Linked DNA regions of Rhinolophus ferrumequinum. The protein of the gene in region 2 interacts with the protein of the main gene of each other region in a pairwise test. Links are inferred from orthologs where the notes say so. Each region holds a gene or a part of one and is shown on either strand. Other genes may lie near its edges.

What was found.
Region 1: the proteins of RASSF5 (region 2) and RASSF2 interact in binary tests that used the Homo sapiens proteins (3 or more experiments, as listed by UniProt). The link is inferred for Rhinolophus ferrumequinum from reciprocal best matches to the Homo sapiens genes RASSF5 and RASSF2.
Region 3: the proteins of RASSF5 (region 2) and MYLIP interact in binary tests that used the Homo sapiens proteins (3 or more experiments, as listed by UniProt). The two-hybrid records come from large-scale screens. The link is inferred for Rhinolophus ferrumequinum from reciprocal best matches to the Homo sapiens genes RASSF5 and MYLIP.

Annotation. Positions count from the first base shown.
Region 1 is NC_046306.1:26,448,009-26,458,230, forward strand, and holds the start of RASSF2 (ras association domain-containing protein 2), read right to left. Parts: upstream 4,873-10,222; 5' UTR 4,678-4,872; intron 4,126-4,677; exon of another isoform or gene 3,708-4,125; intron 1-3,707. UniProt on the Homo sapiens protein: Potential tumor suppressor. Acts as a KRAS-specific effector protein. May promote apoptosis and cell cycle arrest. Stabilizes STK3/MST2 by protecting it from proteasomal degradation.
Region 2 is NC_046305.1:24,875,829-24,885,517, reverse strand, and holds the start of RASSF5 (ras association domain-containing protein 5), read left to right. Parts: upstream 1-5,699; 5' UTR 5,700-5,723; coding exon 5,724-6,183; intron 6,184-9,689. UniProt on the Homo sapiens protein: Potential tumor suppressor. Seems to be involved in lymphocyte adhesion by linking RAP1A activation upon T-cell receptor or chemokine stimulation to integrin activation.
Region 3 is NC_046292.1:78,573,561-78,583,724, forward strand, and holds the start of MYLIP (E3 ubiquitin-protein ligase MYLIP), read right to left. Parts: upstream 4,540-10,164; 5' UTR 4,301-4,539; coding exon 4,214-4,300; intron 3,117-4,213; coding exon 2,926-3,116; intron 1-2,925. UniProt on the Homo sapiens protein: E3 ubiquitin-protein ligase that mediates ubiquitination and subsequent proteasomal degradation of myosin regulatory light chain (MRLC), LDLR, VLDLR and LRP8. Activity depends on E2 enzymes of the UBE2D family.

The DNA.
Region 1 (10,222 bases), on a different chromosome or scaffold from region 2:
ATCCCCGCCTAGGCTTCCTCTGGGGACACACCACGCTTGTGTCATGAAGTGAAACTGGTACACAAGGAAGACAGGATTTTACTGGGTTAATGTCTTCTGAATTCCCACGTGCCAGCATATATAGCACATGGGAATAGCAAAGACAATAGCAAAACTCTAGGATGGCCCGGTGCTGGGTGCCCCATGGTGAGCAACACACTCATAAGTGTGAACACATGAAAGGTTTTCTTTTGTTAAAAGTTTTTGCTCTTGGGTGGACAGGAGGAGAATGCAATGGACTCTTCCTAAAGAGAACAAAGGCTAGAAGAGACTTGTGGAATCATCTAACCCCTTGCCCTGGAGATCGGGAAACTGAGGCCCCAAAAGACTCAGCATAAACATTTCAATCATCTTTAAATGAACCTCAGGAATGTCTCACACACAGTGAATCAGCCAGTTCAGAGTTGAATATACACCCAGTTTGATCCCTAGTACAATTTTTATCCTCCTCTCCTTAAGGACAAAATCGGAAATCAAGGTCGTTGAGGTCACATCTCAGCTCAGACGCGGTCAGGTGTGTGAAGCTGGCTCCTACCGGCTCTCCAGGGCTGACCGAGTACATCTGTCCCAACTCAGTGTTGATTGATGCCATGTTAGTGGCTTTACATCTGCCATGGTGAGTATATTTACACTGCAAAAACCAGCAAACACCACAAAACGGGGTTTTTTCCCCCTCCCTGCAGGGCCAGTTGTCAAACATTTACCAGCACATCACTGGTCACAGTCTATGCTATGTGAGCAGATGACCTCAGTATCCTCACCTAATCTAAGGACAGCGTTCTAATTCTCCACGGTCCATCATAATATTCACTCCCAAATCCATCACAGCCCCTTTTATAGTCATCAATGAGCCAGCAAATGTTTGCCTAAATGCTGGCTGTTTACCAGGCCCCTGGATGAGCACATAATACCATATCCCTGTGAGACAGTTATGATTTCCATTTCACAGTTGGCGAAACTGAGACTCAGAGACTTCAAATGACTTTGAAACTAAGGACTAAAGCCTATCTTAGGTCGGTGTCCCCCAGAAGTTGACCCTAAGATAAGACTTCAAGTCCCAGTGGAAGGGGATGGGAGAGTGAACATGGAAGGGAAGGCAGCCAATGAAGGGAGCCAGTTACTACTGTGAGCAACTGAGATTCGCTCCTGCTAGGCAACTCATAGATAGCAGAGAACATGCCCCAAAACTACCCCAACAGAGGTGAGGGAGCTGGCGTGCTTATGTACCTTCTCCCAGCAGTCACTGATTGAAGCCAAAAGAACATGGGAAGGATGCTGGCCTTGCCCGATTCCACGCAGCTAGAAAATGTAGAAGGCAATTCAATACTGTTTTCATTACTTTTAAAGAAAGGAGCAGTTCATCAAACAAACACTTAACTGAGTGCCAACTATGAGTAAAGTGCCATGCTGGTGGTGAAATAAATCTACTTTGCCAAATCACTTTGGGTTGACATGTCCAAAGAAAGCACAAGGTATCATTTTGCCAATTTTTATCAATACAAGTAATAGAAAACGCCCTTCTAAGTCCCTTTCTTCATCCCATGGGAATTAGCCAAATGATCTTCCCTGCCCCCTACTCCTATGAGAGGCTGCCCTCTCTGGTTCAGCTGCAGCTGCCTTGGGCAGCTCCTCCAGCCTCAAGCTGTCATTCTGAGCAGCTACACCAACCTGTGATTACAGGCTTCAGAGTCTGCCATCGCAGGGAAGACCAAAAATGACCCCTTGGTCACCCAGCCAGCCGAGCCTGAAAGCTGTCCGTGTTTGCTGTGCCCTGCTTCCCCTGTGCCTCCTGCCCCGTCCCCTTCCTTGACGTCCTCCTTGGGAACCTACCAGTAGGCCAAATAAATGAAACCACAATCACAGGCCTGTGGGAGCTTACCCCACCTTGAAGATTTATTTAAAACTCTTCTGGAAAGGCAAGGAGGTGTTTAAATAGGGTGGTGTGTCATTGGGATAAATCACTGGACCACACTGTGAAGAGTGGTGGGAGGGGACCCCTGCCCTGGTTTTATAAATCCAGCTGTAACAGTTCGCAGCAACTATGACTTGAAGACAGAGACTAGATGTCTTGTTCTATTACAAGTGCATGGCGGAGACCTTCCCAGTTTCTCACTCTCGGGGAGAGGAGGAGACGGGAGGAAGTCCCAGGACTGCTCTTGGACCACCCAGTGGGCATTCCAACCTCTCCATGGGATTCTCTGGCAATCTGGTCCCACCTCTACACCCCACCTCCCAGTGAACACACTTCCTGCCAAAATATCCTAGAGAGGACTGAAAGCAATAATCAGGCCAACGTCTTCTTGTCTTTTGTGCCAGGACCCCTTTCTGGAAAGCTCCGCAGTCCAGCCCTTGGCACTCCAGCAGAGATGCCAGGATGTGGGGTCCTGGGCATCTCTCCAGCCAAGCCTCTTGGCCATTCCTAAGCAGTTCGCACACAGAAGGCAGACACAAAGCTTGGCTCTGGGACACCAGGAAATCAAAGCAAAACCAGCAGATGACTGAAGGGTCCCAGGTAGGCAAACGCATCCAAGAGTGAGGAGAACTGAGGAATTGAAAATAAAGTGTAAGGTTGTCTACCACTCCCAACCGACTCCTAAAATAACACAAACTGAAGAGGCAGCCTGAGCCCCCAAAGAGATGCCATGCAGAAATGCAGAGAGGTGGGCTCTGGAGCCCCAGGGGCAGAGTGAGCCCACCCTCGGGAAGGTGGGGACCCTGCCGGCTGGAGGTTCAGCAGGTGCAGGTACTGCACATGCCTTGCCTACTCAGCCAGGTGCAAAAGGCACACCCCCACCTTCCCCTGGAGGAGGACGTGACTAGAGACCTCAGAGCCCCTGGCCTCCTTTCAGCCAGGCTCCCCAAAGGTGCTCCTCCTCATTCCAACAGATTTCACCAGCATAAAAATGAGAGTAGGGGAGTACGGGATACGACTAGGTTGCACTCCGAAGGTTATCCAGTGTCCCCAGTACTCGCTGAAGGAGGAGAGGGACTCACCTCACTCCCCAATACAGGGAATCCTGAACTGTACCAGCCCAGACTCCCAGGTGCCCAGACAGGCAGGCTGCACACTATGCCACCATCTCCTCCCAGGGGAAGAACCACCCTCTTTCCAAAACTACTCCACCTCTCTGAGCTCAGCCAGCATTTGAGGCCCTCGCTTATCCCGCAGGGGCCCTCTGGACTGCTGCAGCTCTCAGGCAGCAGCAGACCTTTCCAAAGGAGAAAGCACAGCTGGTGCCCAGATTCATGGCCCTCATCCAGGGTCTTTGATCCCAAATGGGCATCTCCCAAGCCAACTCCACACTTAGTCCCTGGGACACTGCACTGGGACACACGTTAAAAATAATGAACTCTTCTTAAACAACCCAATATTCTTAGTCATGAGAAGTGTCTTTAATTCTTCAGACCACCTGCTGAAAAAGTTCCCAGTAAGTAAATGTGGTTGATAAGTAATTAATTCCAGCCTCAGATTCTTCATTCAGATTCTCTGGAAAGAAGGCCTCTGGCTCTAGCTCACAGGCAGCTGTTTAAAAGAATCATTGTTTCTAATTCTTTCCTCCCATTGTACCAAGATCAATGGTGGCAGGAACCCAGTCCCCTTCCAGGACAAATTATTATTTGTCAGCTCATTGGTTCAAACATTCATTCATCACATGTAAGGTACTTACTATAAACCTGTTCGGCTCTAGACACCGCTCTGTGCTCTGGCAGAATACGTTCTAGGGATGCGAATTCCTGGGTTATAAAGTGCATGGTAGCGTTGAGAAGCCTGGTGCTTAGCTCCTCCTGTCACGGAGGCGCAGGGGTGCTGTGAACAACCCCGGGCCCACAGAGTGCCCATGGGCAAGACGCAACCGCGGAACCCTCGGACTCACTGTCAGGCCACTGCGCCTCTCTGCTGTCCCCAGGGCTCTCCCGGGTTTGGAGCTGAATGCAAAGCAGGCGCTCGCAATACAGAAGCGGCCGAGGTCCGCCCAAGGCACCTGCTCTCTTGGGCGCAGAGGACGCAAAGGCGAGGGCCCCAACGACCAGGCACCAGCTCCGGAGGTGGGCGGAGAGACTGAAAACGGGAAGTGCCGGAGGAACAGGGGGGCCGGCGCACCCTGCGACCTTCTGAATGAATGCAGAAGGAGCTCGCGAGGCGGTCTGGAACCCGCTTCTGGGGAAACGTCCGTTGGGCAAGGAAGAAGGGGACCGAACTGGGGTCGGGCACTCCTCAGGGCTGTCGCGGCCTGCTACCCCTGCACCTGCCGCCCGGCCCCACCTCTCCAGGGAGTCCCGGGGACCCCGGGAATGGAGCGGGAGTGAAGGAAATGATGCCAGGGGTCGGATCGGGAGGACGAGCTTGGAGCCACAACTTTCTCCGGCAGGAAGGGGGGCGGGCTGGGGCTCCGTGCCTACGCGGCCCCTTTGGAGTCCGTACCCTCGGGAACCCCCGCGGCTGGGGGACCTAGAAGGAGACCAGGGGTAAGCGAGAACTGAGGGCCTGACCTAGACCAGGCAGGGGACTCTGCGGGAAAACTTTCGGCCAGGCAGGAGGGGGGTCAGAGGAGAGAGGACTGCCCGGTACCCCACACCTTGCGTCCCGCACCCCGCGCCTGCAGCCTCGCGCCCCACGCCCAGCACCCCGAGTCTTGCCTGTATGCCAAGCCGGCTGCATCTAGCACGCGCTGCGGAGACTGTGGAATTGGAAAGTGAGGTGTCACGACCGGTGGATTGCTCCAGCACGCTCGTGGGTCAGCGGTCGGCGGGTCCGGCTCAAATCCAGCGGGGCTGGGCAGGCGGCGGCCTCGCGATTGGGGTTCGGGCGCCCCGCCCTTCTCCCTCCCCCTCCGCCCCTCTCCCTCCTCCTCCGCCCCTCCGCGCCTTCTTGCCCGCCCCAATGTCTTTATGTACCTTATCCAGTCTGATCGTCCTCCCTCCCCCTCTTTCTCGAGCCCTTCGTCGCTCCCCACACCCCTCTTCCCTCGCCTTTCTTCCTCCCCTCCTCTCCCGCCCGCCCTCCCCCCTTTCCCCTCCCCCGTGGGGGGGGCGGAGCTTCTCCCCTCCCTCCCAGACAATGCTGTGGATATGCGTCCCATCCTTCCCCTCCGTGAGACGGGGCTCGGGCTGCTAGCTCCTCTTCCGGGCTGGGAGTGGGGAGGACGGGGTAAGAGTGCGAGGGTGGGGGGGGATGAGCTGGCTCCCCTCGCCCCATTCTGTCTGCCATCTCCTAGAGGGATGGAGTCTTGGCCCAAGCCCCTCGGCTCGCCCCGCGCCGTGACAGCCGCTCCCTGGGAACAGTAACGCTGCCCCGCGGAGCCCACCTCGAGCGCTCCGGATTTCCCAGGCAGAGGATGTAGGATTTTTTTCCGCCCCCCTAACATCACGCTTATTCCAAAAAGGGTTTGAGTTGAGCAGGGGAGTCTAAGCCAGGCCCCTTCGACTTCGCGGGCTGGCAGACGTGACAGTAATGTGAAGGAGGCCAAGTGTCTTTGTCCACCTCTCACCTCCCCCTCTTATGCAGCGTGGACCTCCAGGGGCTCTCAGAGCACAAGAAGCCCTGAGGCACCCCAGCTGCGGGGGGAGCGGGGGCACTCATCTGTTCCCTCCCTCTTATCAGAATTCTCTCCCCACATACAAACTCCAGCTCTGCAGAGTCAGTCATCGTGCTAAAATAGAAGGGGACCTAACCGTTAATGGGTAGCCAACCCCTAGGATACAGCAGGATCAGCTCATCCCTCCTGGAAGCCAAACATTCTTTACTAAATTCATTGTTTGGATCTTGGAATGTGTCTCCCTTAGAAACAATGTTATAAATGATGATCTGCCTCCCAGGCCAGCCACAAAAGTCTTTTGAACCCAAAACGCAGCTGTAGGGTGGTGCTGAAAACTGTCAGCTACCCAGGAACAAGGAGGCCACTAACCAGCTTTTTCTATAGAAAAAAAAATCTTCTGGTCCTTGTCCCTTGAGCTATAAACAAAAAGTTCTAGTAATTTCCCCCTGGAGCCACTACACTGTATTAGTTAAGCTTCTTTGCAGGTAACATGAACACCCTCAGGGGAATGTATTCTGAGGACATGGCCTATAGCCTCAGGGTCAGAACTGCAGGGAAAGCTCAGTAAGAGGAAAATCCAGAGCCTGGAGGGCTTCCAGTAACCTAGGAAGTCTTCTGTGAGGGGCCAGCTCTTCCATTTCATCATAGACTGGCCTTCCCTACATCCCAGACACATGACAAACGGTAGCCATCACTTATGTCACTGGAACTTGGAGCTCCCCTGTTTAAGCAGCCAAGTGGAACTAGAATCCCTTAGTCTCTATTCCAGTCTCCCAGGAGAGCAGCCCATTGGCCCAGCTTCGGTCAAGTGACTATCCTATGACCAATCAACTGGGGCCAGGGGTGGGCTTACATTGTCCAAATTAGGTTGCCAAGAACCCTGAATCTATGCCCTGCTTAAAGCAAAATCTATCCATCTCAGCTTATATTCTCCATCTTGGTGAATAGATTTATTGGTTCAAAACACCAGAAAACCTCTTTCTCCTTATCAGTTTCCTCATATAGAAACCATAAGAGAAAGGAATAGGCCCTTATCCTTCAATGCAACATAGGGACAATACATCTATCTGTACCAGGGATAATATTGTGCAAATATTAAACTGATACATTAAAACTCCTCCCCTTAAACCCTGTTACCCTGCAGCCCCAGCAACTCCCCTCCCCCGCTCCCCTACCCCCAGCTGGACCAGGAAGCTCCAAGATAAGCATTACCTAGAACCAGTGCTCTGAAAGAAATACAACGCAAACCACAGGTGTAGTTTAAGACTTTCAAGCCACATTAAAAATGGTAAAAAAAAAAAAAAAAAAACAGGGGTGGCCGGATGACTCGGTTAGAGTTCAAGCTCTGAACAATAGCGTTGCTGGTTCAATTCCTACATGGGATGTTGGGCTACCCCCCCTGCAACCGCAATTGGACTTGGAGCTGAGCTGCGCCCTCCATAACTAGATTGAAGGATAACAACTTGGAGCTGATGGGCCCTGGAGAAACACACTGTTCCCCAATATTCCGCAATTTAAAAAAATAATGGTAAAAAACAAGTGAAATTAACTTTAATAATATATTGAATTTAAACCAAAATATCCAAAATGTTACCTTTTCAACAGGTAAACAATAAAAAGAAATTATTTTTTACATTCTATTTTTTTTTACTAAGGCTAAAATCAGGTATGTATTTATACTTCAGCACATTGCAATTCAGACATTAAATTTTCATCAAAAATATTTGATCTGTATTTAGATTTTATATAATTTCTACTTGAGAAAGTAGATTCACTTACCCAAGTTGTTTCTAACAACTTGCTTAAAAGTTGCCCAATAACTGAAATGAGTATTAGTTTTTTAATTTAAGTTTTAATTAAGATTTCATACACTTAAAATTCAGCTCCACTAGTCACATGTCAAGTGCTCAATTGCCACATGTGGCTAGTGGCTGCCAAATTGGGACAGCACACGTTTTGGGAGCAAAGACGTCACTGAGGAGCTCAAGTTTCAAAGCTGATTTTCCTTATCTCTTTAGCAGAACAGTGGCAAGAATGTCAAGCATGTCCAGAGAAAATGATTTTCTGAATTCCTTTATGTCCCCCTATAACATCTCAAGAGATAGGTTTTACCAGTGGAGTTCTACTTTATGCCTGAGGAGAAGCAGGATATTCAGAGAAGTGAGAGACTCAAAGCCCACTCTTCTGTTTCCAGTGGATCCTGGGAGAAGGGAGAAGGAGGGGACACAGACAGTCGAAAATGCTGCATCTTCCCTGATTGTGATTTCCATCAGAGTGCCGAGGAATATTGAAGGGTTAAGGGGAGTTCTGGGGATAGAGGAGAGGATGTTGACACACTGGCTGTTCTCTTCTGTTCTCAGGCACTGACCTAGGGGAGAGGACAGCCTCATCAAAGTCAACTTAGTAGATCAACATGGTTACACAGCTTTCTAGGGTCACCCCCACAATTCCTGCATAGCACATGATGCAGAAATTCCTACCTGCTCCCAAGGACCAGGAGCCTCAGAAGGAAGCTAGATTGTGAGCTGTAGGCCTTCCGTAGGGCCTGTCTTAGTTTGGGTTTCCTCAAAGCAGAACCTGAGACAAGGACTTGGGTGCAAGTCATTTACTTAAGAGTTGATTCCAGAAAGCAGAGGAGTGAGACAGGCAAAGAGGAGATGCTAACAAAGGATGTGTAAACTGGGACTCCATTCCTCTGGGGACCCTCTGAAGAACCGTGTAAAATGTACCTCAGAATTGTCCTCTCTGAAGTCAGGGGGCTGGGGCATTTATCTGCTGACTCTCATCCCCTACTTGTTGAGGATTACTTCCGGGAGAGCTTACCTCTTCTTACGTTCTGGCTCTGTGAACATCTTTGGCCTTAAGGAAACATCTGAGGCAGAAAAACAGGAGCCACTGCCATTGGTACTTGAGGTGGGACAAGTCATTGTGCATAGAGCTGCCCACCATGGTTATGCAGAGATGAGCAGTGGGCTAAGGGGATGTGACACAGAACACGCAAATCGTTAGCTCTAAGAGCTAGCATGGAGAGAGGCACGTTGCCCCTGAAGGCTCAGTCAGGACTGACGGGAGGACGTAATAGGGACTCAGAGGGAGCACGGCCGAATTAAGATCAAGGAGGGCAGGGAGCACTGCAGAGCTCTGAAGGGATATGGAGCACCCAGACCGCGAGGTACACAAGCTGAAGGCATCAGCAGTAGATGCCAGCCAGACCCTCAGGAATGGCGCCATCACCCATCCTAATGGTTAACTAATTCAGTTTTCAAGGGATGGTCCAGAGCAGGCCCTCTGCAGGGGGATCCAGGAGGACTCAGAGATAGCATCCTCACATGTCACCACAAGAGAACGAAAGACAGAACCTACCCGGAAGATCTACCTTGGAGAGACCTGGGGAGGGAAGGAAGAATTCTGAGAGTTGTCACCTAAGGAGATCCCTGGAACTGATTATATTATTGCATCACACTCCTTTCTCTGTCTCTGTCTCTGTCTCTGTCTCTGTCTCTGTCTCTCTCTCTCTCTCTCTCTCTCTCTCTCCTATACAGGAGGTAAGAATCTACAAGGCAGATCTAGTGAGTTATGGAGAAAAAAGGAAGCTTAAGTTCTGCCACTGGGACCCGAAAACATCTGGACATGTCTGACACCTAGTGTGGTGGGCTGGCTAGAAATGCACTTGTTTGAGAGGTGAGAAACGGCCCTCCTAGGAGATAATTTTCAGTCTAAGGAAACAAGAAACCAAGTTTGGTCCAGTAATAAAGCTTTAGTTGACAGAAGGGAGGTGAGATTGTCACTCAACTCTGCCCCCTGGGCACATTGTGGAAGGTGGGAGTTTTCTGGGAAGATGGGAGAAGCTCTAAGTTACAATTCAAAGGACTGTTTCATAAGCCTCAAGGACTCGGGGGCCCAAGCAGCCATGCTTCGGGGACCTGCTGCTAAGTAACACTGAAGGGACCCACACACTTCTCTGATTCAAAGACTTGGTATATTGGCAATGTTACCCGAACCTAGTAGATGGATTGCCAAAAATGGTCACAGTTAGTCTCTTACCTGCATACACTTTGCAGTTCCTCCCATAAAGAGATGGCATCTATTTCGCCACCTTGAATCTGGGTTGACATTATGACTTGCTTTGGTCAATAGAATGTGGCAGAAGTCATATATTACACCTTTTCAGAGCCTGAAAAGGGCCTCAAGAAGCTTTCCACTCTTCTACTTTCTACTGGAACATGGCTCTGCCACATGAATAAGCCTGAATTAGCCTCCAGGAGGATGAGCGATCCAGAGCCAGGTCCCAGACATGTGCGAGACCCGACCAAGATCAGTAGAGCCCCCTCCTCAACCCAGAGCTCATCACTGATGCATGAGGGAGCCCAGCTGAGTCTAGCCCAAAGAGCCAACCAATAAAAGTACAAGCTAAATAGATGGTTATCATTTTAAGCCATGAAGGTTAGGGGTAGTTTGTTATATAGCAGTAGCTAATTGATAAAGAACTTAACAGAATTTTTAAAAAGGTAACTACCGTGTTTCCCTGAAAGTAAGACCTAGCCGTATAATCAGCTCTAATGTGTTTTTCAGAGCAAAAATTAATATAAGCCCCGGTATATTATATTATATTATATTATATTATATTATATTATATTATATTATAT
Region 2 (9,689 bases):
CTGGATGGCTCAATTGGTTAGAGCACGAGCTCTTATTGGTTAGAGCACCAGCTCTTAACAGGGTTGCCGGTTGAATTCCCACATGGGCCTGTGAACCGTTAGAATGGCTTCTCTGCCTCAGCTGTAAGGGGGGACAGTGCCTATTTCAGTGGATCTGCCCATGCTGGGCCATTCACATGTTCTCTGCAGGACGTCGCAAACTCTGCCTCAGTGTTCTAGTTGTGATCTGCGCCCTCCACAACTATATGGAAGGACAACGACTTGACTTGGAGCTCATGGGCCCTAGAAAAACATACTGTTTCCCAATATTCCCCAATTAAAAAAAAAAGAGTTAAGTCCTGGATTAGGTACAGGTGGGGAGCTACAGCAGCGTTCATTCATTAAACATTTAAGGAACATCTCCTATTTGCCCTGCGTAGTGTGATCAGAAAGACCAACAAGACCCAAGTGAGGGAGGCAGAAATGTCAAATTTTAATTGTGATTCATGTTAGGATGTAATATTAGAGACACAAGCGACAATGACAGCCCAGAGGAAAGAATGATGAATTAGTTCTCGGTGACTTGGGAAGGCTCTGTGGAAGACCTGGCACTTGGACTAGACCTTCAAAGTCAAACAGGATTTGATAGGGAAAGAAAAATGGAGCAAGATTTTGCTGATCTTTAAACTGCACCTACAAAGAGAGATCAGAGATTTTTAAACACTGTCGCTTTTACCACATCAGCCGGGCAGTGCAAAGGCAAAATCATGGATTTGAGTCCAGACTGTGACACGTTTTTGGGCCAGTCACATGACTTCTCTGAGCTTCCTTTTTCTCATCTGTAAGATAGGAGTACCAGCCATTTCACAGAGTGGCCATGAAGATGAAGTCATTCAAGCCATGAGTGCCTGCCACATTATAGGTGTTCGATGTGCATTTCTTGAGTAAATACGTATAACATGAGGATTTTCAAGGGACTTTCACAAACATTTTAATTCCCTGACAACGTTTTGTCATGGTCCCTGCTCATAGTCTAGCAATGGAAGGTATTACTGACCCTAATTACACATTGCAAACAACATCCACTTCCTTGGGAGGCTGAGCTCTGTGTGGGACAAGCTGCCCAAGAAGGGAAGGAAGTAGCTCGGAGAGCTAGAATCCTGCAATTAACAAGGGTCAGAGTGTTTTCTCTCAAATGTCTCTGGAGCGGTCACACAATCCCACATCACACAACCTACTGCCTTGGTCACATTTTCAAAGCATGGTCTGTGAGTCACGTTAATCAAACTCTCTTATAAAATACAGGACAATATCCAGACTTACTGAATCAATCTCTGGAGGTGGGGTTTGGGGTTTGGAACAAACTCATACTCATAAAGTTTGGGAAAGTGGGGGTGGAGGGCTGCCTCTTGTTGCCTCAGTCTGTACCACCCTTGCTCAGAGACACAGGGCTTTCTCCATTCAGGTCTATATTTAAATGTCTGCTCCTCAGAGACCACCCAATCTAATATCAGCCCCTGTCACTTTCTATTCCCATAATGTGCGTCATTTTTCATCATAACACTTATAACCTGACATTGTATTACACTTATGTTTGTATGTTTATTTTCTGGCCTTCCCACTAAAATGTAAGCTTCAGGAACATGTCTATGTCACCACTGTACTTTTAGTGCCCAGAACAGCACCTGATATATCATGGATATTTAATAATTGCTTGTTAAATAAATAGCTGCTCTGTGCCTTTGGAGACTGTGGTAGTGATGAGCTCTTTTCCCATTCTGAGCACACGGTAGGGTTGCACTTCTTGCTCCCTTGTGTAGGGTGGGCTGTGTAACCAGTTCTGGCCAATGAGTTGTGAGCAGAAGTGACTGGCGCTTTTAAAGTCTGGTGGAGGACCCTCCGGGCTCTCTCGACTTCCCTCTGGCATGGTGACTGGCAACATTAGATGAGGTCCCTGAGTAGTTTTGATGAACAGAGCCCCCCTGCCAAACATAAAGGTTATGTGAGAGAAAAAGTCTCTGGTTTAAAGGCACGGAGATTTGGGGGTTGATTATTACCGCAGCGTAACCTAACCTGTCCTGACAGGTGCCGTGATCCTATGCAGAGAGCAGAGCTGTCAGAGTCACTGGGAGCTCCCTAAACGCTTCGGGGATTTCAGGAGACTTCAAATGCCTCAAAGCCAAACAAAACCAAAAACTTCCCCTTCAGAAAGTCAGGGCACTTGTGTCCTTCCCTTTTCCTTCCTACTAGGAAGCTCAGTAGGGGGTTGGGGGGCAGCCTTGAAACAACTCACCCAGTGGGGGAACCGACACTCTCGGGGACCACCTCGGAAATGACTTCACACACTGACCACACAACTCAAACTCACTATCATAATGCTTCCCCCGTCAAAAGTAAAAACAGCACACCCACTCCTCAGGGAGTGAGTCACAAACAGAAAAAGTCAATGGCTCTGGGCCACGAGGATCTGCTAACATAGGGAAAAGCTCACAGTGGAGGTGTCTCCCCTGCTGATGCTGTGGTCTTACCCGTGTAGCCTGCATGACAAAGACTGAGCCAAACAATGCTGAAGTTCAAGCATCAGACATTGCCCTGACCCTACAATGAAAACAGAGTTTACATAGTCGTTTGTGCTTCCCTTGGGAGTACTAAGGAATGAGATGCGTCCTTGTGTGCACGCGTGGGAGGGAGGGGATGTTCTTTCAAGGAAGAAGGGACAGGACTGGACTGTGTTGGGAAAGATGGCATCAGAGGAGCAAGTCATAGGCAGGGAGGCTTCTGCTGGGTTCGGGCAAGGCAACTACCTCTCCAGACCTCAATTTCTTGGCTCAGGGAGATGAACCTTAAGATAAACTTGATAAACTTTTGGATTGGTTACATGAAGTTATGCTATCTCCATTTTCATCTCTGTCCCCTCCAGAAGCTAAATGTATGGCTCTGGGCCTGCATAGTGGGGGTATCCTCCCCCACTTAGTGCTGAGAGCAGCCAGCACCCACTTCTCCTGCTGCAGAGCTGCCTCAGGAAAACAGAAACCAGGGCATTTTTCTGTACAGCTCAGGCAAGGGGGAAGGGTTTTTTTGTTTGTTTGTTTTGTTATGCCTGATTATTCCATATAGTCTTCAGTCTTCCAGGGCCAGAGGAGACACTCATTCAATGAGCCTCTCTATCCTGGGAATCTGGCCTGAGTTGACCAAACTCATGCTTGGGGGGTGGTGGGGGGTGGTGGTAAAGAGCATAGATGTGATTGCTGGCAATTTTTTCACAAATGGCATTTCAAAACTGCCTCCCAGTAATGAACTCTTTGCCAGGTCCCCTCTTCTTGCCACACCAAGCTGGCACCCAGAGCTCACACTCGGTCCACACCCTAAACCTCACTCACTCCTGGGTGGGAGTGAGCTCCAGAACGAGTCTCAAGTTGGTGGAGATGGATAGATAACACAGGGTGGAAACAAGCAAATATTTATATGCAGTACAGGTTTCTGCATAACCCTGAGAGCCAGCTTGCAGAAAAAAGTGGGAGAGATGGGAATAAGAGAGCACAAAGGCGAACTGTACTTTCCTTTTTAAACATTCAGCTGAAAGCATTCCAGAATAGCCCTCCCATTGGGTTTTGCTCAGTCATGTCCCACTGCACTTCACCTGCCCTGTGGGGAAAAGGATGGAGAAACCCATTCTCTTATCACCATCTTAGATCTGGAGCAGTGGGGTTCCTGGAACAGCAGCATCAGTACCACCTGGGCACTTGTTAAAAATGTAAAATATCAAACCTCTGCCCCAGACACACTGACTCAGAAACTCTGTGTGTGTATGGGGGTGGTGGTGGTGGTGGTGGTGCACTAATCTGTGATTTAACAAGCCCTCCGGGTGATTGCCATGCATGCCAAAGTTTGAAAACCGCTGATGAAGAGAAAGCAAATTTCAGACAGGGGAGAGGAAAGGTGGAGTAGGGGAGAAGGGGGTGGCTGGTGGCTCACAATTCTTCATCTCAACTCCTCTTTGTAGCTCTGTGGTGTTTGTTGCTGTGGGTCATTCTTCCCACCTACCCAGAAACCACATCATGAGGTGAGAATTTCCAGCCTCTGGTGAGATCCAGGGACCCTGCAACATGTCCTCTGCTACAAACGCAGAGGACTCTATGATCATCCCTGCCCTGAGGGAGAAGCCATGGACCAAAGCAGGCTGGGAATTCCCTGGCCACTAGACTAGAATTGCTAGGAATTACCTAAAAATTACTCCGAGGGGAAAATGAAAAGCAAAGGTGGAGATTCCCCCCATCAGACACTAGGGGGAGACCCATCTCTAGCCTGGGAAGAGGAGGAGTCTGAGAGCTAGAAGAATTTAGACTATTCCTAAAATTGGTTTCTGGTGACTTCTGATAAACCAACCAACCCCTACCCGAGTTTTAAGAGGACAGGCAGTGATCACTGAGTCAGCGTGGTGGAGCTGGTAAGGACTACAAAAGCATACACCTGTCCCCTCACTCCCAGACTAATTTACAGTTAAAACCATAGAGGTAAAGAGGGCCCAGGGTCATACAACTGGTCTATGTCAAGACACAAGTTCCAAGATCCAGGAGTTCCGTTTCCTCACCTATGAGAGATAATCAGGACCCGCTATATAATTTGTGGGCCCTTTGTTAAAAAATTATTAAGGCTATCAGGACCGTGACAGCAGAGCATTAAAGTGGGGGGGGGTGACGGAGATGGTCGTGATGCTGGTAGCAAAGGGATCTGTACTTGGGTCCCACAGGTGAGCTGTCAATATCAGATACAAAGTAGGGCTTTGGTGTGTGTGAGGGGGGTGCGGGGCTGGTATTTCCACAGTAATTATAACAGCGGAGGACAGGAGGGTTTGGTTTTGGAAGTAAAGCTCTCCCAACCCACGGGCCGCTAGAGTGTTCTCACAATCCAGGGCCCGTGGTTACCCTAACCTCACTCTTCTGGGCAAGGAATATCCTACCGGCAGGGCAGCTAATAGAGGGGAAATCCACGGAGAGTGAAAGTCGCACGCGGATAGCCTCGCCCGCCGCGGGGGACAGCTTCTTGGGGTCAGCATCTGCAGCGTCCCCTCCGCCCCCGGCGCGTTCCCCCGCATCACCGGACTCCGCGCGGCTGTGGGAGTGAGAGAGAGAGCCCAGCATTTCCGACTACCGCGGGGCTTGGCTCGCCGGGGGCGGGGGGGGCGGGGGGGGCAGGGGGCAGAGTGGGAGGGAGAAAGAGCAAAGGAGCACATCCCTCCGGTCCGCTGGAAACAGGGAGCGTGGCGGGCGGACACCTACCTAGCCATGGACTTCTCGTTAGACTCCATTCCCTGCTAGCTCCCAAGCCCTTCCTTCCGCCCGCCCTCTCACCTGGGCGTGTTGGGGTGCGGGTGGGGGTGAATGGTGTGCGGGGAAATGACGGGAGAGGGATAGAGGCGGGCTGAAGGCAGACGGCCCTCTACAGAAATGCTTCATCTGAGTTGTACCGAATAGAGTCTTTCCCATACGAAATCCTCCAGTTGCTCCAGCTGACCAGTCCGCTTCCTGAAGACGCCCCGAAATCCACACCCACTCGGGCACCCCCCACTGCCAACCCTGCGGCTTGGTTGGTCCGCGGTTCCCTGGGGTCGTCCTTCCTGCCTCTCCGGAGTCTCCCCGCCCCCGCCCCGCCCCGCAGCCTGCGGTCCCTTTAAAGGCCGCTGGTCTGGGGCCGCCCTCCTCTCGAGGAGGACTCGGGAGTAACGCCGCCGCCGCGTGCCTGGCATGGCCATGGCGTCCCCGGCCATCGGGCAACGCCCGTACCGGCTGCTCTTGGACCCAGAACCGCCGCGCTATCTGCAGAGCCTGAGCGGCCCGGAGCCGCCGCCGCCGCCGCCTCCCGGCCGGTCCTCGTGCCGCTGTGCCCCCGCGCCCCTCTCCACTGCGCCCGGGGCGCACGAGGGGCGCAGCGCCCGAAGGGCTGCCCGAGGGGACCCGGAGCCCCCACCCCGAGCCTCCCGCCCCGCTCGCCCTCTCCGGCCTGGTCTGCAGCAGAGACTGCGGCGGCGGCCTGGAGCGCCCCGACCCCGCGATGTGCGGAGCATCTTCGAGCAGCCGCAGGATCCCCGCGTCCCGGCGGAGCGAGGCGAGGGGCACTGCTTCGCGCAACTGGCGCTGCGGAGCGGCAGAGGCTGGTGTGACCTGTGCGGCCAAGAAGTGCTGCAGCAGGCGCTGCGCTGCGCTAGTGAGTATGACGGTGGGCAAGGGGAGGGGCGCGCGGGAAGACCGCAGTCAATGGGCGAGCGGCTGGGACCGGGAGAGGGCATTGCGCTCCCTGGCTCCAGGGGATTCCTCAACTTTAAGGGAGATAAGCCCTGGAGACTGCTTCTTAGTCCGCTGTCGGGTATCTTTTAGTGACTGCCTACTGCCCAGATTTGGTTCTGCGGTATTTAGTAAATACCTTCTCCTGACGGGTGCATACCTATCCCCCCCCAGATACACACGTGTATACACACACACGCACACACACACACACAGACACGCAGGTTGGGGTTGATGGTGGAAGACGCAAGGTCATTCCGTTGTCTCCTGAGCACCCTCTTGCTTTTGTTGTAGGTTCTTGAGAAAGAGTTGTGAGAGTGAAACTGGTATTGAGTTGGCGATTTGACCCGTGCTTATTAAGGGTTAATGACAAAATGGCATGTTTGTTCATCTATGGTATAGGAGGCCCATGGTACATGTCCCTGTATGGTACATCCTCCAGGGGGCCCTGTTGGGACAGGAAGGAGACCTGGTTAGGCTTTGGATAGAAACAGCTGTGAGGCTGAAGAGAGTCGGAGGTCACCCTGGACCTGTGCCCCCTCCTGCTTTCTACCTCTGGCCCCTCAAACCTTTGGACTCTGCTCTAATGTTTGACTCTGCCCTGCTACCTCCTCTTCTTCCTCCTATGTAACTGCATCTGTCATCATGCTCTAAAATTACCCAACTCTGGCCTGGTCCCTTCATCCCCAGAGCTCTCAAGCCCCTCTGGCCTCCTCCTGAGTCAGGCTCTTCTCAAATCTGACTAGAAAACACTAGGCACCAAGCGTGCAGATTTTCTGAGCCAATCTGCAATATTCTTGGGAGTTTATTATTTTTCTCTTCCTACAGTTTTAGATGTGTGTGTTTTTTTCATGGGTGTCCTCTCCCCACCTCCATCCCCCCATTTTTGCTGTTGCCCATGTTTGGCAGAGGATATCCATGTGTTTATGTGTTTATATATGTATTTAAAATATCTGAGGCACAAAGCACAGACAATGGAATAACTCTAGCAAGCATCTCTGGAAATGGATTGTGGTTTGCATCTTTCAGCAAGGGCCCTTCCCCCATGATCTCCCATCTAGCTGCACCATTGGACAGCACCAGCTACTTCCACGTCAGGAAAACCCTACCTTGCCTCTCTGCAGCCGGTCCACAGCTGAGGCTGTACAGTATGCCTCCCATTGCAGCTGGCGGCAGGGGAAGAGAGCTCAGAATCTAAGCCAGGGTTAAATGGAAGGGGAAGATTGGAGGGGGAAGGGGGTGCTAGTCCCTCCAACACCAGAACTCACAGTTCAGATGCCGATTAAAAAGGAAAGAGCAAAAGTTGTAGAGGTGTGTATGTGGGTGGAGGGCTGTTATCACTGGTAAATGCCCCTGACCTTCCCGTAGAATTGAATGCCCGCGGATGTGTTGGCAGCTTTGGCCTTTTCAAGGCTCTTGGAGTACTTTACTATGATCACCAACCCTGTCGACACAGAGGCAGTATCCTCACTGTAATGGGTTTTATTGTGTGGGATTCCCGGGAATCTGCTTCACTGGAATTTTATTTTGTATTAAGATGTTTGGGGACTATATCAGTTGTTGAACATTTTGCATAGTTTTATGATTGGGGGGGTGGTGGTAACAGTGTATTTGTGTGTGTTTGTATGTGCATATGCATGATACTCTATGACTAAATGAATTGATGTTAACTTCACATTAAACTTTATTTCCTTCGATTGGTTCATAAATAGTTTCTCATGGCAGGAAGACCCAGGTGCATGGACATTTCCTCTGACTTTGTGTGACTTGGTGGCACTTGCATAGGTTTAATACCAACCAGGGATATCTGAACACCAGAGAGAGAGAGAGCAGAGCTGGAATCAAGGGGCTATGGAGAGGAGTCTCTGTTTGTCATTACAGATATTTAATTGTGGGCCTGCGACTGGATGGGAACAGTTAAGAAATATTCTGATGTGAAAATGAGGACGGGTAGGTGGAGACACAGCAAGCCGAACTCACTGAGCATCTTTCTTTAAACTGAAGGTCTAATTCCATGGCAGGGTTGGTTTATTTTATCTTTGTTCTAAAAAGCAAGGGTCTGAAGTACGACTTGTAAAAGGCAGCAGTATGCAATGATTAAGAGCACAGCCTGGAAGCAGAAGACCAGGGTGTGCATCCAGGGTGTGAACTCTGCCACCAAGTCTCAATGTGCCCCTGGGAATCTCTGTGTTCCGATTCCTTGTTTTAAAAAATGGGGAAGATAACATTACCTATTTCATCATGTTACTGTCAGAATGAAATGAATTGATATATATAAAGCACTTAGAACAGTGCCTAAAAAATGCAATATGAATGTTTAATGCAATGTGAATGTTACTATTATCCCCTCCCACTCAACAGTTGTGACAGTTTGTCTGGGTTTGGGACACTTCTTAGGATCACCTTCCCAAGCAATGCGTGCAGTTTTCAGATGCTGTCTGGCTGCTTAGCTAAGTGGGGTAGCGCGTGCCATTAGTATCCCCGGAAGTGCAGGTATCAGTGTCCTCTAGACACGGTCACTCTGCCTGCTGGCTGAGGAGCATCCTCACAGAACGTCAGTGGCTTAGTGGTCACCAGGATGCTGGCACCTTGTCTTTGTATCGTAGACCACACGCTCAGTAAGGAGTGGCTGACGAAGGCGGCAGCTTATTACTATTAAAGCTCCTTGCTCTTGGAAGCAAGCAGAAGGGCAGTGGGTATGTGAATGACATCTGTCTGAGCAGGAGGCTGACACTGGTGGGAGCCCTGTTGGCAAAATGGGCTTTTAATAAGGGAAGCTTTTAGAAAACTGCCTGCCTTTTTAGTGAAAGTTACTCTAATTTAAGCTTACCCCTGCTTCAAGGTCTGTATCTGAGCTCTGGTTAATGCTGGATTTGCCAACAGGGCGGTTCAGGGTTAATATTAATTTCCAGGATCGAAGGAATCGTGTTTGTTAGATAGAGAAGGAAATCCAATGAGGATTGGTGGGAGGGGAGAGAGAGAGAGAGAGAGAGAGAGAGAGAGAGAGAGAGAGAGAGAGGTGGTTGTGTGAATGTGTGCGTGTGTTTTGGGGTGGGGGCAGTGGCAGGGGTGAGAATATCCATTTCCAGCACTCCAGGAGGGAATGGTCAACATGAGAACCTCAGCAACTGTCTTTCAGCTTTGTTCTCAGGGAATATCCCTTATCATAGACCCTTTTCTCTGTAGAAGGCACATTAGGTTGACATTTGACTTTTCACCTCATTTTGGTGGATGTGTAAGCCTTCCTGGACCAGAGACTGATCTGGAAAATGGGGAAACCTAAGTCCCACTCAACCAAGAGGATTGCTTGGACGTACCTTGCATATTGCCAGTGAGTGCCATGCATCTGCTCCCGGAGCCTGTCTCTCTGGAAGGGGCGTTGTTCAGAGCTATGAAGTGTGAAGTGATTGGAATTATAGGGTTGAAAGG
Region 3 (10,164 bases), on a different chromosome or scaffold from region 2:
CAACGTCCAGAATACATTAGTTTCACTTTTAGTTTTAATCCACAGCATGGCAAACATCTGCTGAAAATACCTGCTGTCTCCATCTCTGAAGTGTGCCAGCTGAGTCTAAACAAGACTCTTCGGTTACTTTCCAGACCTCCATTCAAGAGCAAACATAATAATCTGGGTAAAGAACCAAATTTAAAATGAGGCCAAATCAGAAACCAGATTAATTCTACCTACCAATCTAAGCAGACACTTGATATGTTTCTTCTGTCTTCAGGGAAATGCATTTAGGAAAACATTGAGGAAAATCATATAGAGAGGAAACAGATGCAAAGAAAAAAAAAATCTATTGCTAGAAGAGATTCCAGAGACAATCTGGTCCTGGACTTTCAATTGAGATGAAGAAAGAGCTGGCTCAGTCTGGGAAGTCCGCATACACTGGTAGTTGGTGGCAGAGGCGGACCTAGGATGCAGACCCTTGACCCCAGTACTCTAACAAACAGGCCTCCAGGCTGTTCATTCTCACAGCAGCCTCCCTAATCCAATGCAAACGAGTGTGTTAACTGGCCCCGTTAGGCCAGCTCTACTGTGAGGAGGCTACTTAATTGCCCACAAAGGACAACTCAACCAGCATATTTCATGCCATTTAATAAACTGTCCAGACACTTTTCGTACACTAAATGTACCCTTATGACTTGACTTAGAGACGGTAAACAATCACCTCTCATAATTGCACTGGTAAAGCTGAGTTTACTCACTACCTAAACAGATCTATTTTATTTTCATGTCACTTTATGTAAATATTTTATAATGAATAATTAAACATCAAAAGGTTTATCAACCAGCTTTATCTTGCTAACATTCATATTGGGGGAAATAACTATTTTTGTTCTATAGTATCATGCACATACAAACAATGCAAGCCATAACTAAACTGGACCCAATACAACTTCCGATCCTAATGAAAAGGTACAAATGCTAATGACAAATCACTTTATGTAGTTATTAAGGCACAATGCTATATAAATTTTAGGTGACATTTTCTTAGAATTCTGTATTTCAGACAACGGTACAAAAAACAAGTAAAATGCTCCAACATTTTAAAAGCAAGTCAAAAGCTTAGATCACACTAATTTTTCAATAAGATTTCAAAAGGATCTAAAATCAATTAAAATTACCTAGTCTAACTAGATATGTGTATTCTTTGAGCGCTATTAGGTATGAATCTCAAGAGTCAAAGCCAATTGAGTCAATAAAGTAGGAAATTTGATTCCAATTCTAATTCATAGAATGTCTCTATTTCTTGCATGAATAAAATGGATTTGATAATAGTTATTAACTCAATTACAAGAAAGTACAAGACCGTCTAGTAGTAAATTTTAAAGTCTGTAAGCATTCATTATACAAATGTATTATATAATTATAACTGTAGCCATTGTTTAAAAGATGTATTTGCTCTTCGAAGCTTCTACAGATTTAAAAAATATATTTGTGTCATCAAAATAGATTTGCATCTGGAGGCCCTGAAATGACTGAAAATCATTATAAAAGTACACAATGAAAATTCCAATATATTGTGATATATATATATATTATATTCTTACTTGACTGCCAGTTATCACACAGAAATGCAAAGTGGAACCTTTCACAAATCAGCTTTCAATAAAAAAAAGAAAACCCTCAACCCATTCTGATTAATACACAGCTAAAACATCGTTAAACATGTAATCACTTGAATATTTTGCAAGACATTTTCAAGAGCACTAAGAATTTAATATACCAGTTCCTTCAGAAACAAAACTGAACATTTCCCTCACTCTTTAAAGCTCTATAATGAGACAAAGCAGAGATTTCAAATTCAAATAAACAGTATTTCAAAATATGTTTCTATCAGTCTTTAGGTAAACAAACAAAAAATGTCATGTTAAAACTCTTAAAGGTATTGTTTACTCATCATTACTCAAATTTTCACATTCACATTTTTATGTACAAGAAAATTTCCAAGCCAAACAATTATGGAAAACATTAGAATTTAGAGCTAAAGTTTGCTGTATTTAGAATTAGTTGTTTTTCTTAATTTTTTTTTTTAACATGCCACTGTAAGATTTAGGTCTCTTGCATTTCAGCAATAAATGTTCAACACTGCTTTCCTAGTTTTCTCATCCTTTAGAAAAGTATTCCAGTCAGCCCAGAGAAGAAAATGTTTTCGGTTTGCAAGAGAAAAACACCTTCTCTGGTTTTCTACCACTACTGGTGGTGTTCTAAAGCGATAAATTTAACAATCTAAATGCAACAATAATATATAACATATCTGTGGGATGGAGTTTGGTTATACTGTTCTTAAAAGAGTTCTCTAAGTTTTCCAGAAACTTAAAAACTTTTAAAATTCTGCATTAAGTCGGACAGAGCTCTTTGCTACACATTGTAATCTGACACTAGCCTGAAGAAGTTGACCAAGTTTAAGAAGGGTTTCCTGCTTTCTGTTAGAACAGTCTATAGTGACCTATAGTAACACTGCTGAGAGGCAGGGGTTACTCTGGGGCATTAGCTGCTGCTATCAGGAAGTCAGTGGGTCTTTTCCTTCCTTCCTTCCTTCCTTCTTTCCTTCCTTTCTTCCTCTCCTCCCACTGCCCCCCCACCCAGCCCCGCATCTGCCATTGTGTTTGTAAGAATTCAACCCTGCTCTCCCATTGTCTATAAAGACAAGAAAAACCACAAGAAGAGTTGGAAAATGTACCCCATGTCAACTATATAGGTCCCTGTTCACTTTGATATAAGGGCTGCGCCATGGAAAACTTCGAAGTGATGAACCAACTCACTCTTCTGTATCAAAACAAATTTGCCTTTGTTTTGCCTAAACATCTCTGGGAAGGTGCAATGACCCTTTCTAAATGGAACCAAAGGCCTATTTGACATTGGTTTATTTAAGCATCACTTTACCTAGTCTGCTCCTGTAAGATGAGATGAGGCTCCACGAAGAACTTGACTCTCAGTTTAAGCCGGTAAGGGGCTAGCCCATCCATCTGCTGGGAGATCCGGTTTCTCAGATTTAGCCATAAACTTTCACCTTTGCTACCCGTAAACTGCAGTCCAAAATAATCAACTTCTATAATTCCCAATCGCCTGCACACCTGAAACAAAAATGAATGCAGCATGGATGAGCAAATGGTCCATGTGGTCAAAGTAAACCCAAGGACTCCACTGGCTCTAAGATTTCTGCCTACTCTTTACAAAGTTCAACAACAGTGTTACAATTTCTGTTGTAAACTGGAAGAACAAAGATCTAGTGATGCTAAACTACTAGGTGAAGCATAGAAATGTCCTTTAATACTCAGGACACGGCCAATGGCAGTAGAGAAAAAGGAGTCCTCAAAAGCAGCCTTCCAGAAAGGCTGAGGAGGGCAATCTCAGGGAATTTTCCTCCTTATTCTAATCACCAAAATTCCCTCCGTCAACACAAACGACACAGTTGATTTGGCAGCTTAGTATCTGGACAATTTTAACCATCTGCACTACCAAAAAACAAACACATTGAGGAAACACGCCACAAGTGTCAGCTAAGCTTTGAAAGGGTTTTCCAAACATCTCAGGTCTAGGGGGTTTGAGAGCACAGCGTTTCACTTGAGATCAAATCTGCTGTCTGCCCTACCAATATGCAGTTTGGAACCGTTCTTCGCTCTTAAAGAAACGCGTGCTTAAAGACAAGCGAGGAGTAGATGCCAAAACGGTACTCTCGTCCTCGCAAACCCGAAGATGCAGGTGAATGGTCCATTTGAGCAGCAGCAAGAGACACGGGCCCGGCTTGTCTGCCAAACAACCTGAGAGACCTGTGACCGCTTCCAGCCACCTCATCCCGGGACGCAGGTGTCGCTGGCAGGCCCCGCGGGGACCCGACCGGCGGCTTCATGCACACACCTGCGGCAGATGTTCTGGTCCGCCTTCTTCCGGGAAAGTGCCGAGCTGGGGCGGGGGGATCGGGGGACAGGGTGGCCGGCCACCGCGCGCGTACTCTGCGGTTTCCCACGCGCTCCCGGCTGGGAGGCCATGTGCCCCAAGCCGGTGGAGTAGGGGGCGCGGGCCGGGCGCCTGGGACGCGACCCCACCCCCCCACCCCACCTCCGCCCCCACCGCAGCGCCGCCCGGCCCCTGGCAAGCGGTGCGTCCCAGGTGCACTGCGCCGCCGCGAGGCCCCTCGGCCTAGGGTCCCCGCCTGACCCCTCGTCCTCACCTGGTTGAGGCAGTCCTCGCCGTTGGCTTTCGCCTCCACTTCCACCTCCATCAGCACCGCGTCCGGCCTCGTCACATAGCACAGCATGGCTGGGGCCGCGGCTGCCGCCACAGCCGCCTCCTCTTTGGTGTGAGCGGGGCTGCCGCCTCCCCACCAATCAGACCCAGCCCGGGTCTCAGTAAGGCTGGTCCTCGGGACGCTGCCGCCTTGCAGACCCTTGTCCTGCGCCCCGCGGCCGCCGCGCCCTCCTGCCACCCCCTTGCCAGCCCGCTAGCCCACCGGCTCTCAGAGTCTCCACCGCGGCGCCGCACTCCAGCAGCCAGACTGCCTGCGCCGCGACAGAGACTCCTCTGATATAGTGGCTCCGCCCCCTCCGGCTGGGGTCCCCGCCAATCACAGCGGTTCTGCCCCGCCTCCGCTGCCCCGCCGGCTAATAGAGGCGCGGGATCGGCCGCGGCCCCACCTCCCAGCGCCGTCTGCTTTCCGGGGCTGCCTGGGGAGGTGGCAGCTTGCGGGCGCCGAGTACTGCGGGAGGAGGGAGGCCGGGAACACACCCGCTGCCTCTGCCCGCTGGGCGACGCTACTCCGAGCGAGCGACCGCCACGGGCTCTGAAGCAGAGTCGCCTCTCTGTCGGGCTTGAATTTACAGTGATGAAACGCCCTGGCTCACTCCGAAATGTATTTCGGGAGGTGAAAGCGAAAAGGAAAGGGAGCAACCCAAAATCCTGAGGACAACTATTTTTTCCTGGGGTTTGCTACCGTGGGTTGTCCAAAGGCCGAATGGTTGTTCCTCATTTCAGACCTAGTCACGGAAAACTCGCATCTGAGTATAAAAGTTTTGGCAGTTGACCAATAAGTCAGGGAGCTTGATCTAGTGCTTCTGTATGAATCCTCTCCAGAGGCTTCTAGTTACCTGTTCTGTTGAATCAAAACACCTTATAAGGTACTAAGGCCCTCTCTCAGGTTGCCCATCCTATCGCATGTCTTATCTCATTCACTCATTAAACATTAATTGAGCATCTGCTGTGCTGCCGATCCCTTCTCTCAGGCAACCAAATGTTCTCCCCGTCTTAAAGGTAAGGGACTCATCTCAGAACCTAACAGGTGGTATAACCTCAGTAGTAGCTATTAATTATTCAAGGTCTACAACTCTTCATTCATTTACTACTTGTTCCTCTCTGCCAACACATCATTCAGCCTAGTTTTTTGGTTTCTTTATAGGAGAAGAGAGCAGATGTTGGTTTTGGCCTTGAACCCTTGGAAAACTTAATTCATCTCTCTGAAGCTCGGGGTTCTCAACAGTGAAATGGAGATATCTGCTCTGCCTGCTTCCCCTCCCCACCCAGCATTACTGTGAAGAACAGCAGAGATAATGTTCCTAAAAGCATTTGAATGACCCTGTATATGTGTAATGTCAGTTCTGTCATTGCCTGCCAATGACTTCTGTCCTTACTCTTTTGCCTGAGTCCCAGTTATCTCTGTCCCAGCAATCTTTTGGTTCTGAAGAAGTAGGAAGGATGTCAGAGCAGAATGCTACAGGGAAGGATACTACCACAGTCTTTCACCAAAGCCAACTATGGGGAAAACTGTAAATAGTCAAAAGTCCTGACCTCCAGGGCTGCAGATGGCCATGTGCCCCTGAACATGTGTCTTTTGGATACACCTCGCGATACTATGTTGCTGAAATAGACCCATCTTGTTTCCCATTCCTTTAATTCCAGTTTATTTATCTGGAAAATTGGTCTGGAAGACAACATTTGGATGACTGTTATCTAATCTATGCTTAATCACTAGAAATTTTAGACCTAGGGAGAAGAGGTGAGGGGCAAGATGGAAGCAAGGTGCATTGGTTAATATTTTTGTTTACTGAGAGACTAAGCTGGCCAAATCAAAGTCAGCTAACCAAAAGTTGGCTAACTTCAGCAAAAAGGAATTTAGCACACAATTTTGGGGAGCTTATAGAATCAGTGAGGACTAGGCATGAAAATAAATAGAAAGGGAGAAATATTGGTTGGCCAAGAGCAAAAATAAACAAACGAAAATAAAATAAGCAAAAATTAAATACTCATTTTGTAGAGAAACAACTTTAAAAATAAATTATGTTTTTGATTTTGGCAGGCATATTTCTAATCCAAGACCAGATTATGCTCCTGTTATGAGATGGTTGGTAAAAAAAAAAATCCAGTTGTTTTAGAAATTAAAAATTATCAGATAAGACTGAAGAGGAGAAGGATTTCTTAACACAAAACAAAAAAAAGCAGGAAAGCCAAAAACAGGAAAAACATGGCATTTGGGAGGGGGGAGAGATCCTGATAACTGAGGAAAAAAGAATACTGGCTGCTATTAGCATACACAGGAAATACAAGACCAATCTCTCTCTCTCTCTCTCTCTCTCTCTCTCTCTCTCTCTCTCTACCTCTCTTCTCCCTCCCTCTCTCTTCCCTCCCTCTCTCTTCCCTACCCCTCTCCCTCCCTCCCTCCCTCTCCCTCTTCTCGGTCCTCATTTCCTCCCTGAGTAGAGCTAGGTTAGTTGGGGTAAGGAACAGTATGCTCAAAGACCTGGTTAGGGACTAGAAAGTCCACAGCAGAATTTCTTCCTAGAGGATCCCACCATCTGGTCCTGCTACTAAAGGTCTAGAGCCAGTTTCAAAAGCCCCAGCTGGGCCTAACTCCAAAATAAGAGACTCTGACACCCTGGCCTGGGGGTGGTAACTGTATTGGATCAAGCTGTGACTCAAGCAGTTCTGAATTAGCCAAGGAGGTGCTACATTTTATCTGTCTTCTTTCCTTTGCTCTCAAATAGCTATCACCTTTTAAAGACAGCATTAAAATAAACCAGGGAAGTACAAGGATCAGCTGCATGAAGGGAGATTTTTTTAAAATAGAAATCATAACTAAGTGGTAGAGTCAGCTAAGCCAGTGGGGTCCTGGCTGTTCAAAATCACCCAAGCAGCACAGTTATTCTGTTTCATAGACTAGGGCTAAAGACTGAGCATAAGCTAACATTTGCAGAACGTGATGTGATGGCTGTCTGGCTAAGGAATTTTTCTTCCTGTTGAGCACTAGGTCTGATCTGGCTGGCTGGATACCTATCCTTGTTCATTCCTCTCCCAACGCTGCACACACCCCTGCAGAAACCCTGTTCTGGGTCAAAGGAAAGGCGCTTCTCTTTAGCTCTCAATGTTCATTTGTAGAAGCATGAAAGGAAGAACACTTAGAGACTGCCTAAAAAACTGTCCGTTTGCTTTCACACGTGATTCAAGCTAATTATTCACATAAGCAATATTTAATTTTGCACAAGTGTGTTAGAATTGTCGAATGAGCTGAAATCTCTCATTTGAAATTCTGGAGTAGGTTAATTAACCGTGGCCTACCATCAAAGCAGAGTTGTCGCTTCCAAAACTGGCTGTTTGAAGAGTGAATGAAGGGATGGAGGAAGAAGAGGTAAAGCCCATATTACAAACTTTGGAACATACCAAACAGCATCGTCTTAGTTAGTGAACAATCGCAATGATTTTTTTCTATTTGTGAGGGTAGTTCACGTTCATGGTAGACTACTTGGAAAAGGCTAAAAAGTACAAGGGAAAAAAATGCTCCTGTAACTTTATCAGGCATTTCTAGTTCATATTGATGTTTCACTTTGGTACTTTGTATGCAATGTGCTCTAAATTTTGATTGTGATAAAAACAAATACAGCACATAAATTTCTGGAGACATATCAGGAGAGCAAGAAACACAGGGGGTGTGCAGTTCCAAATCCATACCTAGTGTTATGACTATCAGGAAAATTATAAACAGAAAGAACAATCATTACGAAAAAAAATTAGTATTGTTTCTGAGCTGTTTTCTTTTCTAAAATACATACAAGCCTTTCCTCTATTTGTTTTTCTTCTCACTACTCATACCCTGAAACGTCAGATTTTTGTGATATGCTTACTTTGGCATGCATCATTTAGTGGAGAGACGCTCAGAGCTGGGAAATCATTTCCAACTTGGCACATTTTGTTTAACAACAAAAATATTTTGCTTAATATTTTGATACCTGTTATTTTAATTGTGAAGATGATCAATAATAATTTGGCCTGTGTTGTTACAGGTGCTCCTCAAGTCTGGGGATATGCAGATACTGATCCACCTCCAATAGGGTTCACTATCACGCTGATCTTGAATGAGATTCGGTGGGTGATGGGTATGCAATTGGGAGCCATGGAACAGAGGACAGACCCAATCTGCCTGAGGCTCAAACTCACAAACCTGTCCTACCTGGAAGGTGTTCTAATCAGTTGATCTGTAATAACACCTCTCCCCTTCCCTCACTGTGTCTGAGCATGCCTTTCTGTAAAGGAAAGTGGGGCCAACATGACATATTTTGTGGATGGGTGTGACACAGAACTCACTGGGGATGGCCACTTCCCAAATCAGTGGGACATTAGGGAGGACCAACTTCCCAAAGAAAAAATGAACAATGATTAGAAATGCTATAGAAATACCAAAAGTACATGAAATCAGCTACGTATGTTGGACAAACCACAAGATTTGAATAAACAAGATAGAACAAGATAAAACTATGAATGCTTTGGCATGAGGCAACTTCTCACTAAACTTCAATTACACCATCTCTGCCCAGCTCATTTATTGTTGCTGACATTTGTAGAGTTTATGTCACTTGATAGGAAAATCTTACTCCTCTTTCAGTTATTCAGTGTTTTGCTTTGCTATGTTCTTAGAGACTGTGATTATTTAAAAATGACTTGACAGCAAAGGTCTGCTTTCTCCCTGGCAATCACTCAGTGGCTATAAGTACCCAGCCCTCTATCAATTGCTTTTTTCTCCCTCTTCTCTCCCCTGGTTCAGAATTCCTGGGAGAGGTCAGTCAGGAAGCTGTCTGCATCTCAGGGTGGGGGAGGCAGCTTTGTCGCTTCCTACTTGACATGAGAGAGCTGAACCTTGGACCCAGCCCTATGTTTCCCTCCATATCCAAAATGTCCAAAGCAGACATTTCAGCGCCCAGAGCCCAGGAAGACAGCAGTGATGAGGTGGGGTCCGTGGGCCTTTCCCAGAATGACACAAGCAGGAAATCTTGCCTTTCCTTGGGTCCAGACTTCCAGGAGAAGAGGAGTCTGAACATGTGTTCCTCTGTGGTTGGTGTGAATCTGGTGTCCACCAAGAGTTAAGCCCACATGGGCAAAGTGAAGAGCAGAGAGCAAACCAAGTCTCTCACTGACCTACCTAGTTTTTGTGTAGTTGCCTTTGGTTACCCCTTAATCATTTGCAAACACTTGCCCAAACAGCCCAGACCTGTCTTAACTTTGTAAAGATTATGGTGGAAATAGTCTCACTTGGGTCTGAATTTTAAAGTAAATAGATCTCCCCACACCCCCCCCACACACTGTGACCCCCAGACCCGGGACCAGTATGGAGATAGTAATAACAATTACAAGGAGTAAGTCTAGAGAAAGGTAAGAAGTCCAGCTGCTTACACTACCTGGAATGTTTGTTTCTTCTTTCTCATCTTGGAGGATCTGATTTTTAATTTTCTTCGGTGTCTTAGCCCACTCAAGTTGTGATAACAAAGTACCATAGATTGGATGGCTTAAATGACAGAAATTTATTCTCTCATAGCTCTGGAGGCTGGCAAAGCCAAGAGTAAGATGGCAGCATGGTCAGTTTCTGGTGAGGTCTCTCTTCCTGGCTTGCAGATGGCCATCTTCTCCCTATGTCTTCACATGGTAAAAGAGAGAGAAGAAGCAAGCTCTCGGGTGTCTCTTCTCATAAGGGCACTAATTCCATCACGAGAGCCCCATCCTCATGACCTCATTTCAACTTAATTGTTCCCAAAGGCCCCACCTCCAAATACCATCACATTGAGGGTTAGGGCTTCAACATAGGAATTTGAGGGGACACAATTCAGTCCACAGCATTCAGGAAGACAGCAGTTTCATACGCTCCCA